7 linked regions of the Ovis aries genome follow. The protein of the gene in region 7 purifies or fractionates together with the protein of the main gene of each other region. This does not show direct contact. Links are inferred from orthologs where the notes say so. Each region holds a gene or a part of one and is shown on either strand. Other genes may lie near its edges. The genes, in order: EXOSC9, EXOSC7, EXOSC2, EXOSC4, EXOSC1, EXOSC8 and DIS3L.

Region 1 (3,483 bases), on a different chromosome or scaffold from region 7:
TACTGGGTGATTTTTTTTTTTTTTTCCAGTAAAAACAAGATTTATAATACTTGTGGCATGATTAGGGCTGTGTGAAGTATGTGCATACTGAAATTTGTTTTCTGAAAACAGAAAAAAACATTTACAAGACAAGAGAGTGATGAAGTAAATTGATGGTGTAACATCTGCCTTCTCTTCAGCTTCTCTTCTCAGAAATCAGAAAAGTTTATACTTTAACAACTTTCAGTGTTTTATTTTCCTTTGGAAAAATTCTTGAATCTCAGTGACATAGTCAAGCCCTATATATACATCATTACATTGTTCTTAAAGTTGATTCATTCACCAAATTTATTACTACAACTGAAATGTTCCAAGCCAGTGTGTGTGTCTTGATATTTGTCACCCATTCTGTCCATAAAATCTTAACCTGAATTACATTTTTTCTTCATTGTTCAGCCATCCATAGTATAGCCGTTGATAATTTTTTTCCTAATAATTTGAGGTGAACTTCAGACTTAACAGAAGAGAACTTACATTCTAATTGTTTCAACACTGCATCAAATAGCAGTATATTTGTTACTCAGTTTTCTTAACTTGCCAAGTGTTTCTAAACCTGTGCTGTGGACTCCTGGGACCGCCCAAATTGGAGAGGGAATAGAAAACTCCTGGGGTCATCTTGAAGACTCTGAGAAGGAAGATGAGGATGAAGGTGGCAATGATGAAGCTGTCATCCTTGATGGTATAAAAATGGACGCAGGAGTAGACGTCTCTCATATTGGAAGCCAAGGTATGTGATACTTTATGGCTGTATGTAATGTGTGTATATATATACATATATATCTTAGAAATCTTGTTTTTATATTAGCAGTTACTTATTTAGAGGGACTAAATGTTAAATTTCAACTGTTGAGGCTAACTGCAATGTTAACTCCTAGTTCTAAGAATATACTTTGTAGAACAGTGGTATTCTTTGATATGTGAGGAGAGTGGCATAAAAGGTTTTTTTTTCTTTTGATTATATATCCAGGGCAGTTGTAAAAGGATAAGTATCTTAAACCTCATTCGTGCACGCTGTTTTTTCTTTGTATAGTTTTTAGTGCATGCTCAGTCACCAAGTTGCCTGACTCTTAACGACCCCACTGAGTGTAGCCTGCCAGGCTCTGTCTGTGGGATTTCCCAGGCAAGAATACTGGAGCAGGTTGCCATTTCCTCTTCCAGGCAGTCTTCCCATCCCAGGGATCAAACCCCCGTCTCCTGCATTGGCAGGCGGGTTCTTTACCACTGAATCAGCTGGGAAGCCTCAAATATAAAAAGGAAGTGTCATACATGTATTAGAATAGTGCTGTCCATACAACTTTCTGCAGTGTTAGAAATGTTCTGTCTACACTGGCCAGCATAGTAGCCTCTAGGCCAGTGCTGTTGAGCAGTGAAATGTGGCTTGTGTAACCCAATACTGAATTTTAATTGGTATAGTTAAGTTGCCACATGGGGCTACCATAACAGAGCTGTATGAGAACCCACAACATTCTACATGTGCATGAACAGTGGTAGTCCCAGATGTTCCTGGCATCCTGAAAGCAACTGAACTATAGAAATGGTTCTCACCTGTGGATATTTTAAGGAAAGTAAAATTCTATCATGAATTATTTATGTAGACATAAAGTAGGTTGGTAGAGACCTAAAGGACAGTTGCTAAATCTGGCTGAGAAAATAGTTGCTCATACCTGCCTACCTTTGAGGAAGATTATTACCTGTAAATATTACTAAGAACCTACTGGGGTTTTTTTTTTTAAGGCAAAAAAAAAAAAAAATTCCCCATTGTTTGGGACCCTTACTCAGCTTGATACTTTTTTTTTTTTAAACTATATATGCCTTTATATATATAGGTGGCCCACCTGCCAATGCAGGAGACCTAAGAGACACGGATTCGATCCCTGGGTGGGGAAGATCCCCTGGAGGAGGAAGTGGCAACCCACTCCAGTTTTTTTGCTTGGAGAATCCCAGGGGCAGAGGAGCCTACAAGTCCGTTAGGGTCGCAAAGAGTCGGACACAAGTGACACAACTTAGCACACACATACGAACAAAGGAAGAAATGGAAAACTCTTATGTGGATCGGAAATGGATTTGTAGGAAATGGATTCTTCATATACTGTTTTTTGGAATTTAAATTGACACAGTTTCTGGAGGAGTTTGGCAAAAATCTTTTAAAAAGCACAAGGAATTCAGTTGGCATACTGACTTGTTTCCAGATTAGTTCTATTAAAGATGCACTGTATCTACAAAATATATAGATTTACCCCCCTAACTTTTCTGTGAAAGCAGCACACATGGTTTTTCAGAGCTCCAATGAATAAACTCAGGGAAGAGAAGAACCAAACAGATCTGTAAGCCTCCAGCCAAAATGACTGGGCCTCTTCTATCTGAAATCTAATTCCTCTAACATTTTCTTAAAGATGCCCCTATAGTGCTCTCAGACAGTGAAGAAGAAGAAATGATCATTTTAGAACCAGATAAGAATCCAAAGAAAATAAGGTAACAAATTTCTCATTTATTTCAAATGTATACTCAAGACTCTTTAGAGGCTTGCTCTCTGGTTTATTGTCATCTTACCCTCTCAACAGACACCTTTTGCATTAGCAATCCAGATCTTTCTATGGTTTCTCTATACATCTGCATGGGTGCCTTTCAAGGTTACAGTATTCTTCTGCCATAGTTGGTAAATATCCAGCCTACTGGAAAAAGTAGTTTGGATCACCAAAGTAGGGGGCAGTGTAGGAAGTAAGGTTGGTAAAAACCATTTGTGGAATCAGCTCATAGTACTAATACTGTTGAAACGTTAATTTACTTTGTTCACAGAACACAGACCATCAGTGCAACACAAGTAAAAGCACCAAGTAAAAAGCCAGTGAAGAAAAGAAAAAAGAAGAGAGCGGCCAATTAAAGTTCACAAAGTTGTATATTTGTGTATATAACTATTAAAAAGGTATTTATTCAGTGCTAACAATCTTGAGTATTTTATTCACAAATCCATCATAAAATCTACTTCTTTATACAGTTTTTTACATTATGCTTTAAAATAAATGCCTGGAGAACTCTACAGGTTTTAAATAGCTGTCATTTTGGTAGGTCAAGTGTACTGAAAGTTGACGAATGAAGAAGTGTGTACACAGGCCTGACGGTCTCAGATTATTCCCAAGTCACAGCTGGCCCAGTTTCTTAAAGAAGTGAATGTCAGCACCTGTGTGTCGGAAGGAGAAGCCTTCCCAGTCCTGATGAATTTTTCTGAGTGAAATCCTGAAGTCAAATTTTTACTTCAAATTAAATTTGACTTACAAACCAAATTTTCCAAATCAATTTATTAATTATTATCCTGACAGCTGACATCATTAATACTTTAACAGAAACCACTTAAAATTAGCCAAATATCTAAGATAGTTACATTTACAAAAGATATACAAATTAAAACCATTTAAAAAGTAATAGATACCATAATTTGTACTGGAC
Region 2 (2,300 bases), on a different chromosome or scaffold from region 7:
CTGATGTTGAAGCTGAAACTCCAATACTTTGGCCACCTGATGCAAAGAGCTGACTCATTTGAAAAGACCCTGATGCTGGGAAAGATTGAGGGCAGGAGGAGAAGGGGACGACAGAGGATGAGATGGTTGGATGGCATCACTGACTCAATGGGTGTGGGTTTGGGTGAACTCTGGGAGTTGGTGATGGACAGGGAGGCCTGGTGTGCTGCAGTTCGTGGGGTTGCAAAGAGTCAGATATGACTCAGCGACTGAACTGACTCTGATATCATAAGCAGTTCCTTTGAACTATTTTTCTGGTAGGTCTTATTTTAGTGTGTGTGTTTGTTGTTCTGATTTCCTGCAGCAGGAGACAAGTCTCCCTGGAGAGGCCTGGGACCAGAGTCCTCCACTGGAGCAGGTCTCTGGACTTAGTTGTCATTTCCTAGAGAAGGGTCAGTTGTGGTGGAGCCACAAATGGCATCCTGGCGTACAGCTGAAGAAGTCAAGCCATACCACACACGAGACCAGAAAATAGACTTTAATTTCACATGTACAAATGTTGCCTTAAATTCACAGCAGTTAAGAAAACAATGTATACAAACTTCAGCTTCCAGGGAAAAGGAGAAGACAAACATTCGGCAGTTGGAGGCTGCTGTGCACATCAGCCCAGGAATCCGACTTTCTGTCTCTTGGGCCCCAGGCTCTCCTCCTTGTGTAGAATGCTCTGCAGGGAGGCATGCAGCACCTTGCCCACGCGCTTGCCAGTCTGCAGGACGGAGAAGGGCAGACAGAAGAGGGCACACGCCCGCCCGTGAGGCACACGTACTCTGACTGAGAGAAGCGTCCCTGCCAACCAGCCATTCCAAAGCCGCACACATGCCATCGGCCTTACAGGACTTTCATTCAACATAAAAACCCCAGGGAGTTCCTGGTGGTCCAGAGGCTGAGACTCTGCAATCCCAATGCAGGGGGCTCGAGTTCGATCCCTGGACAGGGAACTATAGATCCCACATGCCACCACTAAAGATCCTGCATGCTGCAACTAAGACCAGGTGCTGCCAAAAAAAAACCCAACCCTCCAAACCCCGACACCACAGTAGTTAACCTTCTGGGAAAGCCTCTATTCTGAGAAAGGGGAAAAAGAAGAAGGCAGCCCCCAAGCAGCAAGCAGAAAGGAACAAAAGCGGCCTCGGTCCTTAGCTGCTGCCACTGGAAGCAGCAGAACAGTCAGCCCCGTCAGAACCTGGCTACAGCCACTGCGTTGCAGAGAGAAGGCATGGGGAGACCACGGGGAATCCAGAATCTGTCTGATGAAGGAACAGATGGTGCTGGGAACCCTTTTTAACAAGCAGTGTCTAATCTGCCTGCCACCAAAGGAGACCTGCTCAGATAGGACCAAAGTCAATACCTGAATAGAGTCTTTGATGTTACTGCCATGCAGAGATGCTAAAAGCATACGTTACTGGGATCAAGGCATGTCACGAGGTCAGACAACGCCATAGATTTCCTAATTAGCCCCCTACACAGCTGACAGAAGGGGGCTTTGACAAAAAAATCCCAACTATATAAAAATCTTTCTTCATGCAACTGTTTTTGGGTCACATGAATCATTTCAAGAACATTATGAACCGACTACAAGTTTCCTCTCCAAGCCTTCCATGGTCTCATACCAGCTTTAGTTCACTTGTGCTACTGGTTCCATCCCCGACAATGTCAGGGAGAAAGACACCCAGGCCCTGGCCCCACCCCAGTCCTCCTAGTCATCGGTGGACTCTCCCCAGGGCTGTGTGGCTTTTCCCGACCCCGGACTATAACAAGGGATGAGACCCCCATATCACGAAAACTCATGAAGAGAAGAGCTTAGTCTAAAGACCAGGAAGGGATTGAGTCTATGAAATGCGAAATCAGGATTAAGGTCCAAAGTGACTTTGGAAAGATTTCTATCGCAACATTAAGAAAAGGAAAAAATGTCCAAGTAGGGGACACTGACTAGGGAAACTGATTATTCATAGGAATGAAGACAGGGAGAGAATAGGAAATGAGACAAACAGGCCACCAGGGCTTGCGAGATCTGGACCTGGATTTGCAGGAGAGGTTATAGTGGCCGGGGCGGCAGACACACAACCAGCTGAGTGTCTAAGCTTTATCAGGAGTGGAGGGGATGGGAGTGCCAACCAGTCAGTTCAGGAGCAGCTGGAAAGCGCCCGAGTGCTGCTGCCAGGCCTGGGGGCACCGAGGGGAGCAACCCACCCAGAGGCCGTGGGGGGCTTTCCCCCATCCCTCTTCATCTCCATTTACACGCTTCCAGGCCCACACGGAAT
Region 3 (3,500 bases), on a different chromosome or scaffold from region 7:
AGAAGTAAATAAATGTTGCCAAATTTGAATAAATCCCTTTAAGCTCATATATTCCACTAAGAATGACGTAGTTCAGCCTAATTTTGTGCTCACGCTTATAAAGCAAAGCAACCTACACAGTGCTAGAGGAATTCAGAACCGGTGTAAAAACTTCAGCTTTATTTAAAAAAAAAAACAAAAAAACTTACTGAAATTATGCTTAACAAGGGCACCCTCTAGTGGGCCACAAGAAAAGTACCACTTAGTAGGTAATCACTATTCAGGATATACTGAGTGAACATTACAGGCTGGCAGCTTGGCAGACCAAGTGAGAAGGGCAAACATTCAACAAACCCACTTATAGCCCTGATCAAAACCAACCCAAACCAGGCATGCAGGCTCCCCTCCTTCCCCATTCCCTTCCCTTCAGGGACATACAACCTAGAACATGATCTCAAAAACAGGGAGCAAACCTACATTTGCAACATAGCCTGGGCAACACTCAGTTGACTGCAAACTCCTCAAAACAGGAGACAGACTGAATATTATAAAGACGTACAATTTAACAAAAAAGAGCTGAGCTATGTTTCAAAACTGTCATATGCTCCAAATCACTACTGAAACTGTCCTAGGGTTAAATTGTACTAGGTGTTCTGGGTTTAAATTTAAGGGCCTCTGTCAGAAGAATTTCTGTCTCCCAAGTCATCCTTCACCTGTATTTAACTCCCAAGTATTACACAGAATACAAGAACAGAAACAGTGATGCCACATACATAAATTAAAAAAAAAAAAACCAAACAGCTCACCAAATAGCACTCTCATATACTGACTTTAAAAGAACTGTTTACCCCAAACCCAAATCAGGGCACCATGTTTAGAAAGTCATTTGAAAAATACACAGGAATTCTAGCCATTCTCAGTTACACAGAACTTCAGTATCTAGTTTTTACCTTTCAACCCTGAATTATTCAAAATCAAATGCATTGCTGCTTCAGTTATAGGAGGAAAACCTTTTCTTTTTCCATCTCCACTTTTTTACTTTGTTTTCACGTTTATCAGAGCACCCAAAACATTCATTCTCTCTCTCAATTATTCAGCTTCTTACAGATCATCCTCAAAGGCAGAACAGATTAAGGCAGCCTGGCGGGGATGTACTTACATCTGTCACTAGGAGGAACATGTAACAGGAAATGAGAACCAACCAAGCAAAAGGCTCCCCGGTCGCTGTGTCCTTCCACTGACTCTTGGGCTCATTTTACCAAGCTACAGTCTTCAGTGTCATTCTCGAGATGCAGAGGAGGTGAGAATGGAGGCCAAAACTGACAACTGGGGGGATCAGGGAGGCTATGTTTTATATAGGGGCAATTTCATGGGGCACTGTGCCTGGTGAGTTGACAGTGACTACAAGACAAAAGATTCCCCGTATGATTCCAGGATAGGAGTCTATTCGGCTGGAACTCGGAATGCTTTTAAGGGTCTGAAACTACCCATAGCACCCGAAGTCTGTGGGCAACTCAAGGGGTTGGCAGCAGTAATCACATTCCCCCTCGCTTTGCCTTAAAACAGGAGAAAGCAGGTCTTCAAGGTAGAGGCAGCCTGATGTAGGTCCAGTGATGAATTTCCCGGTTCTTCACTGAGCTGCATGCAGGGACTGCCAATCAGATTCTCCACTTTCAAGGACTGCTCTGCTTGGGTCCACACAGTCCTGGCCTTGAGATGCTTCTTCTTACCCCTCCTGTTCCAAAAGCCTCTGGCGTGTTTCCATCACAATTTCCTCCATTATTTCTGGCTTTAAGATGTCTTTGATCTGAAAAAGAAAAGACAAAAGGTAATTTGTTCAGTCAGTAAGCACACCATCAAGCCAACCCAAATGTAGAAACCAAGCCTGGCTAACACGAGCCTTCCATTTTCCTTTCGTTTATCAGAGGCTACATATTGCAAGGAAGGATCTGCTAGAACTAGCTTAACAAATCAGCAAGGTTCTCTGGGATATAGCTAACAAGAACAACAATGCTATTACTCCAGCATTCCCTAGAAAGGCAGCTAAAACTGGGATGGCCAAGATGAAGTCCAGGGGGTCGCTGTCATAAACCAGCCCCACCTGGCACCTCCAACTGCCCACAAACCCTCACATGGATATCAGACATTGAGAATATTATTAGCATCTCGGGGAAAGCTCTACCAGCCAACAAGGGAGTCCACCAGGTGAGTTCATATTGGTGGGCATGGTGAAGGGACGTGGGGGGCCACGGAGCGGATGACACGGCACGCCTGCTCACACAACAGCGAGAAGGGGAGCCCTAGGTGGCATACCTGATGCGGAAGGGATGCTTCATAGCAGTACAGGATGCTGGTATCATAGAGCATCATCCTCTGAGTTGCCAGTGAGACGATGCAGTTCCGGAGCCGGGAGATCACCTCTCGATCGGCGAGGGAGACCGGCTAGCAGGGGAGGCAAACAGAATCAAGACCAGAATGAGTGAATGGTTACAGCAGATCACAGGAACCACGTACAACTGAGGCGGGATCACTCTGGGACTCCAAACCAAGCAAACTGCTGACTCCAGGGAAGATGAAAAAGGATGGCTCCCCAGTGGCTTTTTGGCTGTTACCCTGCAACTGCCATCTGGGCCAGCAGAGATCAAAGTCACTGATTTCATCTCTCCAGAACAAGAGAGGGCAGCACGATGTTTTGAGCAGACTTCAGTGGAAATGCAAACCAGCTCAAACTACAGCCACGCAGCAGGGAGAGACGGGGAGCGCCCCCACCTGCCGCAGAAGCACAGTACCCACTCAGTGCCTCTGCATCCAACAGGGCAACGGCGGGCGGCGTGTGCTCACCTCCAGGTTTGCGATGAAACCCCCTGCGTCGTCTTCTTTGTGCTCGGGGGTTGGGTAGACCCAGATGAAGCCGTTGTTGCCCAGGATCACTGAGGCACCGCACGGCAGGTCATGGAAGTGGGTCTTCTGCCGTTTCACCAGGGAGGGGGAGACCTGAACCAAAACGCCCTGACCTAGCTAAAAAAAAATATATTGTACATTAAGTCACTAGGATCACCAGTGAGGCGACTATGAAGCAGAGTACAGACTGTGTCCTAGGGAGGCTGGAATCGGGGTCCTTGCTGGTGATAACTGGCATGAACGCGCATGCACAGTAGAGAGAGACACCTTCCGGAGGCAGGTGTCACTTACACACCCAACAGAAGGCGACTCTCACACTCTCCTCCACCATTTATTCTCCTTTGCAAGCGTCATCATGCTCTGATCCAGGGCTGGTGTGACGGCTGAGAGAAGGTGGAGCCAATGAAGATGCGGGCTTGAGCCTCTTGAGGGCCAAGGAGCACTGCCCTGTTCCCCTTGACCCCAACCGCCTGGCCTGCCCACAAGACATGCCACTGGAGAAGGGGACTGGCCTAGGGCTGGGCACAAATACATCCCCGGTCCTGGCAGGTGAGCTCAAGGCCCACATCCCGCAGATGGCGCGTCTGCTACAGGCCTCGGGCCCACAAAGGTCAGCACAG
Region 4 (3,829 bases), on a different chromosome or scaffold from region 7:
TAGGGTCAGGACTGAGAAGACGCCAGGTGACATTATGTGTCTGTTGTACTTTTGGAGCCCAAGGGAAGTAGCAGGACAGGCCCAAAAGGCTTCTAGAGGGCAAGAGACCCTTCAGTCCCAGCCACAATCCAGAGGATGTGGGACACGGCCCCCACATGACCATAGTGAATACCCAAAGCCACCCCTCAGGACTTGTGCTCAGGACTCTGGATGTGTTGGGATGAGAATGACAGACTCCATGGTCGTGGGGCATGGCTCGTTATACCAGGCTGTGTCTCACTGCCCAGCAATCCCTTCTTGGCCCAGGCTGCTCACTTCATCCAGGGACATCCGCCTTCTTCAGGGTGCTCACCTGAAGCACCCTGATGAGCAGGGTGAGCAGCACTGAGGCTGCAAGGGGTGTGTAGTGCATGTCTTGGGGGCGGACCCTTAGTCATTGCTAGAGCCAGCACCAGGCCAGGATCCAAGGGCAAGGAAGTGCGGTGGGGAAGAGATAAAAGTACAGTGAAAGGTGCTTAGGTTTTATTCTGGGCTTGGGTGGCCCTGTGCTCAGTCCCCCAGCAAGACAGAGGCCTCTTGTACATGCTGCCGGACCACACGGTCCAGTACGGTATGTACATCCCGGGAAGCCCGGGCAGCGGCCTCTAGCACTTGCTCCAGGTGGTCCTCATGCAGTCTGGCATCCATCTCAAGCAGTGCAATCTGGCCTGAGGCTGGTAGCAAGGCCAGGGCCAGCTGGGGGCCCCCAGCTGCTTCCTCCACATGGCTGAGGTCTGCCAAAGCTGTTCCATCCACAAAGCCAGCTGAGCAGGCACACACAAAGTCCCGCATGGGTATCCCCGCGTCCAACACTGCCAGCGTGGCTGCATTCACACAAGCTGCGTAGGTCCCGCCGTCTGCCTGCAGCACCTGCAGGAACCCCCCAGTGGCATGAGTTTCAAGCTGCTGAACCCCAACTCCTCCTTTCTCTCTCCCCTCCACAGGCTGAGGGCTGCTGCCTGCTCACCTGCACATAGATGTCAATCTGGGAGCGTGGGTGCAGCTGTGTAAGGATGGCTGCCTCGAAGGTCTGACGCAGGTGCAGACCCATCTCACAGGACTTGCGGTCCCCGTGTGGCCGCCGCTTGCGCTCCCCTGTGCTGAAGGTTGCAGAACTGTACTGACAGTTCACCAGGGCCCGGTCAGGCAGGGCTCGTGCCCGGGAGCCTCTGATCTGGGGTAGGGTGGGGGAGAACACATGAGCCAGGCCCTTCCTCCCTCTACCTCCAACATCCCAACAAGCAACCACTTTACCTGCAAAACAACACAGCCCGAGGGAGGGCCATTGGGCCAGGCTCTAAGCCACCATCGTCCCTGGATCTCTCTCCTGACAGGCCTCCCTGTTTCCCCTCTTGACTCGTCCTCTCTCGACCCCATGCTTCCTTTGTATGAGAATCTGTTTACATATATCAAGTCTGATTCTACCTCCTCTGCACAATACATATACTGCTTACCTTATAAAGAGTTCCCATCACGCGTGAGATAAAAATCCTAAATCTTTTCCCTGTTTACAAAGGTCCTGGGTTCCTGCTTCCCTAGAAATCCCTCAGTCTCATTTGGAATTACCACCCTCTTCCCCATCACCAGTCTTTCTGCTCTGCAAGAGTGCCATGCTTACTTCTACCTCTCTGGCCTTAAGTCTCCAGCGCTGGAGTGGTGATAAACCCAAGCGGTTTTATTAACACTCTCTGTCTTCACGGAGTTTATGTTCCAGTGAGGAGACAAACAGTGAGAAATAAGTTAAACTGATGTCTGAGGAGGCGGGTGCGGGAAACCAGATAAGTGTGTGGATGTAAAGGAGGGAACTTGACTTGTAAAGGGTAGGTAAGGTGGTCTGGGGTGGGATGGGGTGAGGTGTCACCCAGAGGTGACGTCGGAGTGGAGCTGAGAGGTGAGGGAGCCAGTGAGAGCGGCCCTGGCGGTTTTAGGAGTAACAAAGCGGTGTAGCGAGCGCTGGAGAAAGGCAGGGACCGTCGTGCAAGACACTGTTAGGACTTTGGCCGCGGCCCCACAAGGCGGCGCGCGCCAGCCTCACCCCCGAGGCCTCTACTCAGCCAGGTAGCCCCTCACAGCCCGTAGTGGCCACCCCCGGAGGAAGCCCGGCTCGCGCGCGCCCACTCGCCTCGTGAGGCCCGTAGACCACCGCCAGCGCCTTGGTATTGCCCTGTTCGATGTAGGCCGAACCGTCGGCCTGCGCGAATACACCCATCCGCGCCTGGATCTTGCGCAGCTCCCCAGCGCGCCGCCCGTCCACTCGGTAGCCCTGGTCCGATAGGAGCTCCAGCCCAGCCATGCCGCCCGGGCGCTAGCCAGGCTTGAGCGCCCGGCAGAACTACACTTCCCGGTAGAATTGACTCCCCACTTCCGATTCCCCAGGACTACGGTTTCCGGGGCACCGACTCCGACTTCCGGTTCCGGACCCCTGCGATTCTCCCAGAGTTCCCGAGGGCACCACATCTCATTTCCGGTCCTTGCGGAACTGCGGCTGTGGGCCCGGGGAGGGACCCTTGCGGCCTTTTGGGGTACGCACTCGCGCCTGCAGGGCTGGAGGCATGCCGGACGTGGAGTCGCCGTGTCGTTTCTTCCCGGGTTGGTCATGGGGACGGCTCCCTCTACCATCCGGGCCTGCCCGCCCCGCGCCGCCGCCTCTCCCTCGGCCTCTCCACTGAGCCCCGCGCTTCCCGCGCCGCTGGCGCTCCTTTACTTCTGCTTGACGCTTGGTATCTCCCTCGAGGTTTGCGGGCGATAGCCGCCACTGCTGGTCTTAAGTTCTTCCGCGGTCATAAATGCAGGCCTTCTCCCAAGCTGAGATACACTCTCTGTTCGCAGTTGTTTTTTTTTTTTCTTTAAACCGTTTAGTTTTTACATTTGTCCGTTTAAAAAGCAGACACATTTATGTTGTACGTACACATGGTCAAATTTTTTAGTTTCAATTTTCCATGTTGCCTTGTTTCTCTGCACTCATCCCCCTATCTACTATAGCTTAAAAAATGGCTCCGTTTTTCTTCACACTCATAATTACATCCAGGTCACACACAGACACGTGTATATGCAGCTGTACATGTACAGCCATATAGTGGCCTTTGGAACTCTTATTTTTTAAAATGCGATTGTTTCATACACTTTTGCATTTAACTCAAAAATATAAAATCTGTCCAAGTAATCCTGTGGAACTCATAGTTTTTTGGTTGATACGAGTATCAAGTAATAAGTAGAATGTACCCAGCAACCACCCCATTGTGGGCAGTGGATGTGTGTCCCGGGGTTGAGTGAAGGCTGTGTGGGAGTTAGATTCTCCGTCCTTTCCCACCTGGAATAAATGTTAAAAGTTTTTTACATAATCCTTCCCTCTTCAGAGGGTTACTGCCATTCCTCTTGCATTTCGTGGCCTGATGTCAAATGCCCTGGAACAGCAGAGGGGCTCACAGGAGGGGGGATGAGATGTTTTCCTCCACAGCTGCCTCCTGTTTCCAGATACCATTTGCTTGGTGGTCAAGGTCACCATCAGGGAGCTCATTACCCTCCTCATTTGCATTATTCGGGCTTCTCTGGTGGCTCGGCTGGTAAAGAATCTACCTGCAGTGGAGGAGACCTGGGTTGGGAAGATCCCCTGGAGAAGGAAATGGCAACCCACTCCAGTCTTCTTGCTTGGAGAATCTTATGGACAGAGGAGACTGGCGGGCTATAGCCCATGGGGTTGTAAGAGTCAGACACAACTTTAGGGCATTATTCAGCCCCTCTGCAGTGCTTAGAAACCAGATCCCATGCTTCAGGTTTGAATAGGGAAGGA
Region 5 (4,019 bases), on a different chromosome or scaffold from region 7:
TGGCAGTAATTGGGACTCCGTTTCTCTCATCACAGATATGACAGGAAGCTGCAGAGAGAAAAATAAAACATGAATATTCTGGCTAAGCCTTGGATAAAGGTATTTGAGACTTGACAGTAAAATGGGAAACCTTGGGCCACAGTAGACGTCACATGGGCAGGTGGACAACAGATTCATTTGTAGCCCAGAGCAGAAAGCCTTAGAAATTTTAGGATACAGGAGGGCCAAGGGGCCACAGAAAGAAAGGTGTAAGAAGATATAATCTTACCACTTCAGATGAGTTCTGAGTTTTTTTGTGATTTTCTTAAGAGTTTTTCCACATACAACTACATTGCCTGTAATCATGGATAATTTAACTCTTTCCTCCAAAGTTACATCTTTCTTTTGGTTTGTCATTTTATTGGACAGGCTAGAATTTTCAAATAAATGTTATATAACAGTGGCCATACTTGTTTACTTCTATTTAACACTTGTAGAGTTTCCTCTTTGAGCATGGTACTGGCTATTGGTGCAGGAAAGATATTTTTGAGCCCGATCTTTTCTTAACCTTTCCCTTGTTCAATATGCTTCAGCTCTCCTGGTCTTTTTTCAGTTTCACCAATTCACGAAATTTTTTCCCATCTCAGGATCTCTTTTCAACCTGCTCTTTCTGCTCACTCACTCAACTCTTATTTATCCTTTAGATTCAGACTAAATATCACTTCTGACTAGGCTGGATTTACCTATTACATGTTCTCATGGTACTCTGTAATATTGTTTCAGAGCAGCCATCATATGTGTAAGTATACCTTCATTTGAGCATTTATTTGCTTAGTTTGTATCTGTACCCCTTGATAGCAGAGACCACATATATTTGGCTCATTATCACATCCCACAGCTATAAAATGAACAAACTTTCAAATCCTAGGGAAATTCCCCAAATTGATCAAATACAAAAGTCTCTCATTTTATAGGTAAGAACCTATAAAGGGAGTGAAAGTTTCTTACCTAAGGCAGAATTAAGGTTTAGTCAATACTGAATCCTCTTTCTACTATGCTCCCAGTTTCTAGGGCGTTCCTGGTGGCTCAGCTGATAAAGAATAATCTGCCTGCAATGTCAGAGACCTGGGTTCGATCCCTGGGTTGGAAAGATCCCCTGGAGAAGGGAATGGCTACCCACTCCAGTATTCTGGCCTGGAGAATTCCACGGACTGTATAGAGATTTGGGCTTCCCTCATAGCTCAGTCAGTAAAGAATCTGCCTGTAATGCAGGAGACCTGGGTTCAATTCCTGCGTTGGGAAGATCCCCTGGAGCAGGAAATGGCAATCCACTCCAGTATTATTGTCTGGAAAATCCTATAGACAGAGGAGCCTGGTGGGCTACAGTCCATGAGGTCTCAAGTGTCAGACACGACTTAGCGACTAAACCCATGCCCCCCACCACCTCCAGTCTTTAAGCTGCTCCTCCAAGAACTGCTTATCTGATCCCAAGCTAATAATGGATCAGCCTCTGGAACCAGGGAGAATAATATTATTCATACATTCAATAAACATCTACTGAGCATTTACCTCGCGCTACGTGCATAGTAGTGGAAGGGTCTAATGGGGAACTTATAACTGAGTGTTAAATTGCATGCTGAACTAAGTGCTTAGAAAGGGAGTAACAGCTCTTGGGACCTCCCTGGTGGTCCCATGGTTAAGACTCTGACCTTTCACTGCAGGGGGGATGGGTTCCTTCCAAGATCCTGCATGCTGCCTGGCAAAACAAACAGGCAAACTGACCCCAACAGTTCTTTGTGAGTGTTAAAACAAACAAAAAACAAAACTCCCTTTTTTGACTAGTGGTGTCTATAGGGCTTCTCTGAGAAAGTGATAACTAGTGAGGTTATCTAAAGGGTGGTGGTGGTTTAGTCGCTCAGTCGTGTCCGACTCTTGCGACCCCATGAACTGTAACCCGCCAGGTTCCTCTGTCCATGGGATTTTCCAGGCAAGAATACTGAAATGTGTTGCCATTCCCTTCTCCTGGGTCTTCCCGACCCAGGGATCGAGCCCGCGTCTCCTGCAATGGTGGTGGATTCTCTTCCGCTGAGTAGGTAGGATTTAATCGGGCTAAGGAAGAGAGGAGCGTGTTCCAGACAGACGGCGTGTGTACAAAGACTCTGTGGTCCACTGGCGATATTGAAAAAGACAGTAGGACTTCTGCAAAGAGTGAGGCGCGGGTAGCGGAGCGAAATGAAGCCAGAGAAGCAGGCGACATTCGGCCAGGATTCAGCTCACAGCACGGCTGAGCTCGCCTCCGTTCTTTCCCCAGCTTGCTTCCCGGAGGGTCAGCAACACAGCCAAGCCAGACAACACAATTAATTTGTGATGGCTAAGTGTCCAGCAGCGGGGATCCCAGCTGTCAGAAACTCAGAGACTAACTCCTTCTCCTAAACCAGGCACTAAAGACGCGCTCGTAGGACCCTGCCTAAAGACAGTGAAATCAAAGGCAGCGTAAGACAAAGAGACAGAAGAGAAGGGAAGCTGCCCCATTTACCGCGCCGTTCTCGCTGGTCTTTGTCAAGCAGCCAGCAAGCGACGAAAAGATGTAGCCGTGCCGGGTGTAGGTGCCGCTGCCCGGGCTGCCCTCCTCCAAGTTACACAGACGTTCGCCTGCGGAAAAAACGCTGCATCAGCCACGGGTCCGCTGAAGCTGTTGGTCGTCTGGCCTTCTTGCCCCTGTCTCTGCCCACGATTTGCTCTAGATACCGCTGACTTACCGGGGATGCAGTACCTCACGGGTGGCGCCATGACTGCCACTGTTCCAAATCCCGAGGAAAATGAGGCCGACCTCTCATTGGCCAATATCCAGGTGCAGTTACGCAGTAAGAAACGCGCTAATTGGTGTGCTCTATCTGTAATCTCCGGAAGCGCTTCCAGAAGACGTAAACTCCATTTCCCAGGTTGCATCGGGACGAATTCGGGGGCGGGGCTTCGGAACTCTCGCGCTTGCGCCTGTGGACAAGGATGGGCGGGCGGTGGGTCCGGGTCTGCAGGCTGGACCTGTGGGCGGTGGGCCATGGTTGGTTGGATTGAGCAGGGCCGGTGGACGCCGAGCTGGAGGGGGTGGCAGTGAGCTGCGGCGGAGGCTGCGGGGTTCGACTTGGCTGATTGAGGAATCGGCCAGCGGCAGGTAAGAGCGAAGCTGCGGCCTTTTCTGCCCAGTCCTGTCGCTTTTAATAGGGTCGGGCCCTGTTCCCGGGCCTTGTGAGCCCGAGTTCCTGCTCTGCACGGCCGTGCCCTCGAACCGGACGGAACACACCCTCCGGGCAGCCCTGAGGCGTGGAGCTGGAAGGTCACCCCAGCCAACTCGCCCATTTCACAGATTTGGAAATTCATCCCCAGGGATAGGATTAGAATTGTACAGTATCTCTAAAATCAAGATAGAGACCGAACGGGTACTCAAGTTATTTTTTACTTTCAGTCTATCATTCTTTGTTGAGAAATAAAACGTTTCCTCAGTTTCTGTAACTGCAGTCTCCAATCTTGCGGAAGCGTGCTAGTCTGGAAGGAAAGTCTGCATGAATTAGTGTTGCTTTTACTGATGATTGACACTTGCTGCTTCAGGCAGTAAACACCCTGAAAACAGCATCTTTGTTCAAATGAGTTATGTCGACTTTGTTTCCTCTGCTCTTCGGTGTCTTTGGAATCTATGTGTGTCCTCCCACCCCTAATAGCCCCCATGTCCAGTTTCCCCTTGGGAAAGAGTTGGTGACTGAGAGCCTTGGGGAGAGGAGAGTGCTGTGACCTACACTCCCCTCTGAACTGGTGGCACGTGTCACTATGTTGGTAGGACTGAGGGATCAGAGTGTTCAAGGCTTGTGTTGGGGGTGATGCTGCTGCTGCTGCTAAGTTGGTTCAGTCGTGTCTGACTCTGTGGGACCCCATAGACGGCAGCCTAGCAGGCTCCCGCGTCCCTGGGATTCTCCAGGCAAGAACACTGGAGTGGGTTGCCGCTTCCTTCTCCCATGCAGGAAAGTGAAAAGTGAAAGTAAAGTTGC
Region 6 (4,245 bases), on a different chromosome or scaffold from region 7:
ATATTATAATCTACTAAGTATATGAAGCTAACTTAGTAACTCAAATCTTGGTAGTAAGTATATTAAACCTACCGCTTTAATTCCACAAATTACTGTAGTATTTCCAAGCTTCACTAAAGAAGAACCATCTGCGGTACCAATCGAACCTGAAAAGTATTTTTTTAAAATGAAAATGTTTTCTTCTTTTATGTATGATTTTTATCTCTAAATATCTAAGATGTCCGTGAAAATTTACTCCTTGCTTGAGTCTTGGTAAAATTATAGTTGACCCTTAAACAACATGGGCTTGAACTATACAGGTCCACTTATACAAAGATTATTTTCAATACATACTTCCACAGTACTACGTGATCCACAGTTGGTTGAATCTAAGGATGCTGAACCTTGGATACGGAGTGCCAATCCATAACGGTAAGATTATACTTGGATTTTCAACTCTGTGAAGGTCAGTGCTCCTAACCCCCTCACTGTTCAAGGGTCAACCGAATTGTTTTAGGAATTATTCATTTTCTTGATTTTGAGTGAATCATTTGTCATTTAATCACAGGGCTGTTATTAAAATTTCTTGACAAAAATCACTGTAATCCCTTAGACCTGGTAGAATTTGTCTAAAACACCGTTTAAATGGCTCAGAGGCTAAAACCTGGGAATGTCATATGGGTAAAATTGGAAAATTCCATGTTTGGCAACAGAAGATTTAATAATGTAAGATATAGAAGGAAACCAAACCTTACAAGTTTTGAAGGGGGAAAACACTTCAGAGTTACTTTAAAATTTAATATGAACATAAAAACTGAAAGGATGTGCTTAGCTGCTCAGTCGTATGTGACTCTTTTGTGACCCCATGAACTGTAGCCTGCCAGGTTCCTCTGTCTATGGGATTTTCCAGGCAAGAATACTGCAGTGGGTTGCTATTTCCTTCCCCTGGAGATCTTCCCCACCCAAGGATCAAACCTGTCTCCTGCATTGCAGGTAGATTCTTGATGCACCAAGACATTTGGGAAGCCCACTAATGAGAGGAGAGTGAGTTAAAAAAAACTCTACAAATAAAAAGTTGCTATTAAGAAAAAAAATTCTATTTTCAGAACTGAAGCAACTTCAACATTCTTTTAGAACTCAAAGTACTCTCACCTACGTTGACAGTTGTGGTTCTGAATTCACCAAGTTCTCTGCCATCGGGACGGCAATTCTCTTTCTAAGTAAATATATGAAAGTAGATTACAGCTACATGTATATCTTACACAGACCAAGGAAAACACACTGAACCTCATTAATTCAAATAAATTAATCTGTATTACTTTAAAATTGTCTTTTAAAAACTGAAGTATACTTAGAACATTAGGTGAATAACATGATTAATACTTGTATTTATGAAAAAAGCATATGATACCATTATCAAAGGGCATCACATAATCACCTTTACTTACCAGAAATCTCCTGTAATACTCCAGAGGTTCCACAGTTCTGAAAGACATGAGAAAAATGAGATAAATTATAAATCAATATAAATCCAGAAACACAACAATCTTAATAGTGGGGTGATGGAGCAGAAATCTCCAAAATTTGTAACTAAGTTTCTGTTATGAATTCTAGTTTATGTTGCCACATGTTGCTAATTATAAAAAGTAGCTACTTTTGCAATAACAATCACACTCGAAGACTGATTTTAATTCTGCTTTAAACAAGTATAAGGATCGAGACCAAAACCCTAGGCCTCTTTAAAAAGAGAATGAATCCAGGTGTGCATCACTCATACTTTGAAGCAGGAATACTTCGTTAGTAGGAAAAAAAAAAAAATTACGCATTTATTTTCACTACCCCGACTTAAATTTAGCATATTCTTCGATTACAAGCATAGGCAATAAACCACTATAATATTAGCCGTACCTGCGACTTTAACAACCACAGATTAAGATGTTTTCGTTTTTACTTTATAGTTGCCTAAGGTCGGTAAAGCGTATGCCCGCAATGCGGGAGACCCAGGTTCGATTCCTGGGTCGGGAAGATCCCCTGGAGAAGGAAATGGCAATCCACTCCAGCGCTCTTGCCTGGAAAATCCCATGGATGGAGGAGCCTGACAGGCTACAGTCCATGGGACCCGCAAAGAGTCGGACACGACTGAGCGACCTGACTTTATGGTAAGTGTAAGACGTATCGTTACTTCGAATTTCAGGAGTTACTTTAGACTTCCCACTAGGCCTTATCTAAGAAAGTTAATTTCAAAACAGATATTTCACTGTGTCAAAAACCCGGAGTTTATACAAATACATGGTCGTTTCAATATAACTGGTTTCCTTTGGAATCCTATTTATTGCATCCATTTAAAACTCGACTCAGAACGAAAAGCTATAGCCTTCCCCAGAGAGCAGCACCGAAAACGCTTAAGGAAAACCTTTCTAACGAGGCAGAATGCTTTTACACATAAACTACTGGGCAGAGAAAGCAGGGCGCCCTGAGGTTTTGAAGCAACGCTTTCTACAAGATTACAAGTGTCTCTCCTGTGCAGCAAAGTCCACTACACACAAAGCCTAGCGCTCGCAGCGGGTACCTGCTCAACACAGTACTTCCTATCACTGGGGAGAAGATGCGCCCTTTCCCTTCACTACGACCACCTTCAGTTCTCCCGCCCAACGTCTCCTTCTGCAGTGGAAACAAATGGGAACCAGGTGGGGTGGCCTCCCGATGAGAAAATCCCAAGGGTAGGGAAGCCGCCGACCGCCAGGCTACGAACTCGCGCCCGCCAGCCTACCGCACTCACTTGAACCCAGCCGCCATCTTCCGCCCGCCGATCTGCGCCTGCGCCCGCGCCCGCGCCTGCGTATCACCACCCCTCCGGCCCGCGCTGCTGTTTCGCTTCAGCACTTTCAACACTGATTCTGCTACCTGATATGTAGAAGGCAGGGTTGTATGGACCAGAGTAGAGGTAGAAGAGGTGAGGGTGGTTTCCCGCATGGCTTCGCTTCGACCACCCCTAGCCAGTCGCCCCTTTAGGTTTTCTTGACCTTGACGTTTTTGGCGAATCGGCTTTTACGAAAGTTATGAGTGTTTGTTTAGAAACAGTTTGATAGTTCAAGCGTGCGTGCTTAGTCTCTTCTGTAGAATCAGACTTTTCGCGACCCGATGGACTATAACCCACCAGCCTCTTCTGTCCTTGGAATTCTCCAGGCAAGAATACTAAACTGCGAAGATCTTCCCAAACCAGGAGTGGAACCCATGTCTCCTGCGTCTTCTGCATTGAAGGCGGATTCTTTATCGCTGAACCACCAAGGAAGCCCACCATTCAAAAGTTTCAGAGAAAACCGACGGTATAGCAAAAAATCAAGTGTTGAGCGTGGAGCATTATTCCAGTGTTTCCGCGTTCTTTCCCCCTCCTCCTTAGGCTGAGCCCTGGGCTTGCCTTCTTCCAGGTAAAAGCCTCCTGCTAGAGCACCGAAAATTTAAAAATTCTGTGCGCTGGTTATCCACATCAGGTTACATTACGCAGCTGCCAAGAGTGGGCTCCAAAGAAACAACTTTCGTTGTAGACTGTGTCGTGGCTCAAAACCTCCACTCCACCTCCTTCCTAGAAAGGGTTGCTGATAAAACGCAGGACATCCAATTCAATTTGAATGTCAGGTGAACAAAGAGTACACGCAAAATTGTTCATGTTGTTAGTTGTTACCAGAAGCTGGGGGAGAACTGGGAAAGGTTTAGCAAGAGGCGGTAGTGATGGTTGCAGGAAGCTGTGAGTGCAGTCAATGTCCCTGTAGTAGACACATAAACTGGTTAAAATGGGAAATTTGATCAGTTTTTCAAAGTTAATATAACAAAAAGCTCTTAAATGGGCGAACTTTGAGTGTGTGTTATACTTTAATAGTGCTGTTGAAAACCGATCCGTTGCTATCTGAAATTCAATTTAAGTGGACATCCGTTTATTTCTCCTTGCTGATTTTGACAACCCTACTGCGTTTGAACAGAGCCGCTCGCACACAACATAGTCTCGTCACGCGGTGGCGCTGTGGGCAGCGCGGGTCCCCGGGCGTGACCGGGTCTGGCCGCGAGGTGGCGCTGTGGGCGGCGGGCGCCCAGCTGGCATGGCCTCTCTGCGGGCTGGAGGCGGGGCTGCGCGGCCGCATTTCCGCGTGTGTGTAAACGCGGGATAGGGCGGCTGGCGGCCCGGCATGGAGGATGGCTCCGGTCTTGCTGCAGCTGGCGGTGCTCGGCGTGGCGCTGGCCGCCGCGGCCCTGATTCTGGTGAGGAGAGGG
Region 7 (3,500 bases):
TCAGCACTCAACAAGCAGAAGCCCTCCAGGTACCTCCTCTCTTCGCCTCTGGTCTCTGCCAGCTTTCGAGCAGTAGCAGGAAACGCTGTTAACTTCTTTGCATAAGAAGGGGTAAATTATTGATGGCATGTGGCATTCCGAGATCCTGTTTTCTAAAAATTCTAAATATATAGAACCATCTATTAAGTAGTCCTTGGTTAATAAATGAAGGCCAGAGAGAAACTGTCCTAGAAAGAGCTGTGCAGGACAGCTGGAGAGAACATTCATTATCCAGCTGTCCAACACAGAAACTTCCAATAGATACACTTTGCCAACGCTAACAAGCTTTCTTCCAGCAAGTGATATAGAAATACGATTGCTCTGCCCTGTGGGGATGATATAGTGGTACTTCGCAGAATCGATTATCCATAAAGGAACGGAGCCCCGGAGAGAAGACGTAAACAAGAAAGTTAGAAATTAACCTTTACTGTGGCAAAGGGTGTAGGCATCACCCAAGTCTGATTTGCCCGATGTTCTGTAGTTTGTAAATGAGACGCTGAAGCAGGATGTCCCCAGCCTGTAACCTGTTCATCGTGTACCTTTCCATCCTGAAGCCTCACTCAGGCTCTCAGAGGCCAGGTGCAATAGCTGCTTTCTGTATCTGTGGCTTGCTGGAATGTGGGGCAGTGAGGTTCGGTTCACGCTGATAACCTTCTCCCCACCAAAAGATGTCTTAAGAAATTAGAAAGTAACTCCAAAACACACACAAATTGAAATTTTTTTGCTTTGAAATTTCATCTGGACTGGGCATAGTTGGGCTTTTCCCTTGGGCTGCCTATGTTAACTAGGATGTATCATAGGTGGCTCTGTTCCTCAGCTTTCCATCTCCAGCCCTCTTACTTGGTGCAGAGAGGTAATGCCTCCCTTCAAAGCACTGGGTTAAGCGTTTACCTACCATCTGGCAATTTAGTAAGACAGGAAGAACCCAATACAAGGAAAAAAAAAGAAAAGAAGATGGTTATTTGTATTACTAAATTGGCCACTCTCTGTGGAGCTCAATGCTCTTTATCCCTTGTTTGTTTGGTGTTGCTAATTGACCCACTTAACTCCTGACACTGGGTTTGTGTTTCCCCCTCTCTGTGCAGGACTTCAGGGTGGTCGTGCGCATCGACTCCTGGGAGTCGACATCCATGTACCCAAATGGACATTTCGTGCGTGTTCTAGGGAGAATCGGAGATCTGGAAGGGGAAATTGCAACCATCCTGGTGGAAAACAACATCTCAGTTGTCCCCTTCTCAGAAGCTCAGGTCAGCCTGGCCCCGGTCCTTTGGTCTGATAAAAGGCATTTTCTACTTTTTCGTTTGTTTGCCCTTGTTGTCCTGTTGGTAAGAAAGAAAAATTTTTGTACTGTGTAACAAACTGCTGTCTAAACCAGAGCTAATGGGAAAAGTTCATTCCTCTTTAACTCTGTGTTTGAATGAGATTGAAGTCAATGTCAAGTGCAGTTAGTTTCTTACAGCCTCATAGCTCTCAGATGTTTACATGTTTCCAACTGTGCTTACAAATGGTATGTCAGTAGCTTATAGTCAGTATGCATCCGTCCCCCGGAACTACATGGGCACCTAGTTGTCACAGACCCACTGGGCTCTGCTCCTTGTCTTGTTCATTCAACCAGAGGCCTGCAGAAAGCTGTGGGAAGCAGCTTCTTGGGTATACATCTCTGACCCATGGGTCAGAACAGTCATGCTCATTAAGAAATCATTTCTGTGTACGGAAAACAAAAATTATATGAACATAAAGCATCAGCTCTTTCCATCACATTATGATCTGTTAAAAATCCTCGTAAATCTTGTTTATTATTCTTGCATAGCTATATTCATAGTGCACACAGGCTATTTTTTGCTTCTTGCACTTAAAATTATTTCTATGTGCTGACATAGCCTACTTATTTTTAATAATGATGGCAAATTACTCTATATTGATGTACTCTAGTTTGCTTAAGCTTTCCTCAGTTGTGGAACATTTGGGATTTTTAATGTTTCAGTATTATAAAAGGTGCTACTTCAAATGTTTCATAAACATCACTTTTTTTTTTAATGTTTTGATCATTTTCTTTGGAATGTAAAATACTTAAAGTGAGATTACCAAGTCAAAGGGCATAAAAAAATTTAAATAGCTTTTGCTGTGAACTGGCAGGTTGTCCTCCAGAAAAACTGGGCCAGTTTGCATTGTCATTAAGAGCATATGAGTGTTCTTATTTTCATTATAATTTTTGACAGAATAGTAACTATAATAGTAAAAATACTTTAGAATATTTTACATTATTAAAATTTTATGTTTAACATTAGTATCTCGAAATCATTTGTTGACTTGTTTTGACAGCTTAGTGAAAATGTTGGAACAAAATAAAACATGAATTAGACTTCATAGGACTAGAATTCTTCCCTTTTAGCCTACTTAACTGCAAATTGATGGCTTGAATAGGTAATAATGCAGAAAAAAATGCCCAAGATTGATCCTGCTTTAAAAGGGGAATATGCTTTTAATATCTGGGACATGTTGATTTTTTTCAGGGCTTGACTTGAATTAAAAGCTCAAATATATTTAAACAAATGGATCATTTGAAAATGCGGTAGATATTGTACTTTTTATAAGCCACCCATTCATTCTTGCTCCAACCCTCACAACTTAAGAGACCGTAAATGCTCTGGAACATTTCCTGTAGAGCCTTCAAGGGCATGCAGATTGTGTCTTTCCTATTGAGTCCCGACTTTCCAGAACCTCACACGGCTCCTGACACCTATTAGGCACCTAATAAATAATTATTGCTCAAAAGAAACAAACATAGGTAGAAGGTAGTGAGTAATGAGGGGCTTCCCAGGTGGTACGAGTGGTAAAGAATCTGCCTGGCAATGCAGGAGACGTAAGAGACTCGGGTTCAATCCTTGGGTCGGGAAGATCCCCTGGAGGAGGAAATGGCAACCTACCCCAGTATTTTTGCCTGGAGAATCCCATGGGCAGAGGAGCCTGGTGGGCTACAGTCCATAGGGTCGCAAAGAGTCGGACACGCACACAATGAGTAATGAATGGGGTTTCTATGCGGTCACATGGAGAATGTTAGAGAGTTTTTATGGAAACTTCTGGTGCAGAATTGCTGAATCTTGGGCCTCTCCTTGTACAGATGTGTGAGATGCCAGTCAACACACCGGAAAATCCCTGGAAGGTAAATTCCCAAGAGGAACGAGAACGTAAAGACCTGAGGAAAACCCACCTGGTGTTCAGCATCGACCCCAGCGGCTGTGAAGATGTGGATGACACCCTGTCGGTCCGAGCCTTGGATAATGGCAACCTGGAGCTTGGAGTCCACATTGCAGATGTGACGTACTTTGTAGCACCACACTCTTACGTTGACATTGAAGCTAGGACAAGGTACCGCTTTTAGAAATCAGCACTAGGATTGTGTGTGTGTGTGACTATAACGTGCTCTGCAACTGTGCTAAGTCACTTCAGTCATGTCTGAC

Evidence for each region.
Region 1: the proteins of DIS3L (region 7) and EXOSC9 purify together in Homo sapiens (affinity purification with mass spectrometry; 3 studies listed by BioGRID and IntAct, with this or other methods). This does not show direct contact. The link is inferred for Ovis aries from reciprocal best matches to the Homo sapiens genes DIS3L and EXOSC9.
Region 2: the proteins of DIS3L (region 7) and EXOSC7 purify together in Homo sapiens (affinity purification with mass spectrometry; 3 studies listed by BioGRID and IntAct, counting the BioPlex papers as one, with this or other methods). This does not show direct contact. The link is inferred for Ovis aries from reciprocal best matches to the Homo sapiens genes DIS3L and EXOSC7.
Region 3: the proteins of DIS3L (region 7) and EXOSC2 purify together in Homo sapiens (affinity purification with mass spectrometry; 5 studies listed by BioGRID and IntAct, with this or other methods). This does not show direct contact. The link is inferred for Ovis aries from reciprocal best matches to the Homo sapiens genes DIS3L and EXOSC2.
Region 4: the proteins of DIS3L (region 7) and EXOSC4 purify together in Homo sapiens (affinity purification with mass spectrometry; 5 studies listed by BioGRID and IntAct, with this or other methods). This does not show direct contact. The link is inferred for Ovis aries from reciprocal best matches to the Homo sapiens genes DIS3L and EXOSC4.
Region 5: the proteins of DIS3L (region 7) and EXOSC1 purify together in Homo sapiens (affinity purification with mass spectrometry; 4 studies listed by BioGRID and IntAct, counting the BioPlex papers as one, with this or other methods). This does not show direct contact. The link is inferred for Ovis aries from reciprocal best matches to the Homo sapiens genes DIS3L and EXOSC1.
Region 6: the proteins of DIS3L (region 7) and EXOSC8 purify together in Homo sapiens (affinity purification with mass spectrometry; 4 studies listed by BioGRID and IntAct, counting the BioPlex papers as one, with this or other methods). This does not show direct contact. The link is inferred for Ovis aries from reciprocal best matches to the Homo sapiens genes DIS3L and EXOSC8.

Annotation. Positions count from the first base shown.
Region 1 is NC_056059.1:3,758,415-3,761,897, reverse strand, and holds the end of EXOSC9 (exosome complex component RRP45), read left to right. Parts: intron 1-581; coding exon 582-766; intron 767-2,432; coding exon 2,433-2,511; intron 2,512-2,835; coding exon 2,836-2,920; 3' UTR 2,921-2,983; downstream 2,984-3,483. UniProt on the Homo sapiens protein: Non-catalytic component of the RNA exosome complex which has 3'->5' exoribonuclease activity and participates in a multitude of cellular RNA processing and degradation events.
Region 2 is NC_056072.1:54,150,486-54,152,785, forward strand, and holds the end of EXOSC7 (exosome complex component RRP42), read right to left. Parts: exon of another isoform or gene 746-2,300; coding exon 641-745; 3' UTR 501-640; downstream 1-500. UniProt on the Homo sapiens protein: Non-catalytic component of the RNA exosome complex which has 3'->5' exoribonuclease activity and participates in a multitude of cellular RNA processing and degradation events.
Region 3 is NC_056056.1:5,926,555-5,930,054, forward strand, and holds part of EXOSC2 (exosome complex component RRP4), read right to left. Parts: intron 2,998-3,500; coding exon 2,821-2,997; intron 2,422-2,820; coding exon 2,293-2,421; intron 1,787-2,292; coding exon 1,706-1,786; 3' UTR 1-1,705. UniProt on the Homo sapiens protein: Non-catalytic component of the RNA exosome complex which has 3'->5' exoribonuclease activity and participates in a multitude of cellular RNA processing and degradation events.
Region 4 is NC_056062.1:13,710,299-13,714,127, forward strand, and holds EXOSC4 (exosome complex component RRP41), read right to left. Parts: upstream 2,392-3,829; 5' UTR 2,333-2,391; coding exon 2,162-2,332; exon of another isoform or gene 1,214-2,161; coding exon 1,007-1,213; exon of another isoform or gene 984-1,006; intron 910-983; coding exon 550-909; 3' UTR 501-549; downstream 1-500. UniProt on the Homo sapiens protein: Non-catalytic component of the RNA exosome complex which has 3'->5' exoribonuclease activity and participates in a multitude of cellular RNA processing and degradation events.
Region 5 is NC_056075.1:18,489,760-18,493,778, forward strand, and holds the start of EXOSC1 (exosome complex component CSL4), read right to left. Parts: upstream 2,801-4,019; 5' UTR 2,770-2,800; coding exon 2,739-2,769; intron 2,632-2,738; coding exon 2,516-2,631; intron 49-2,515; coding exon 1-48. UniProt on the Homo sapiens protein: Non-catalytic component of the RNA exosome complex which has 3'->5' exoribonuclease activity and participates in a multitude of cellular RNA processing and degradation events.
Region 6 is NC_056063.1:24,979,936-24,984,180, forward strand, and holds the start of EXOSC8 (exosome complex component RRP43), read right to left. Parts: upstream 2,801-4,245; 5' UTR 2,776-2,800; coding exon 2,759-2,775; intron 1,465-2,758; coding exon 1,428-1,464; intron 1,196-1,427; coding exon 1,132-1,195; intron 147-1,131; coding exon 73-146; intron 1-72. Other genes in the region: ALG5 (dolichyl-phosphate beta-glucosyltransferase), read left to right, coding at 4,168-4,233. UniProt on the Homo sapiens protein: Non-catalytic component of the RNA exosome complex which has 3'->5' exoribonuclease activity and participates in a multitude of cellular RNA processing and degradation events.
Region 7 is NC_056060.1:13,195,134-13,198,633, forward strand, and holds part of DIS3L (DIS3-like exonuclease 1), read left to right. Parts: coding exon 1-29; exon of another isoform or gene 30-989; intron 990-1,124; coding exon 1,125-1,286; intron 1,287-3,160; coding exon 3,161-3,408; intron 3,409-3,500. UniProt on the Homo sapiens protein: Catalytic component of the RNA exosome complex which has 3'->5' exoribonuclease activity and participates in a multitude of cellular RNA processing and degradation events.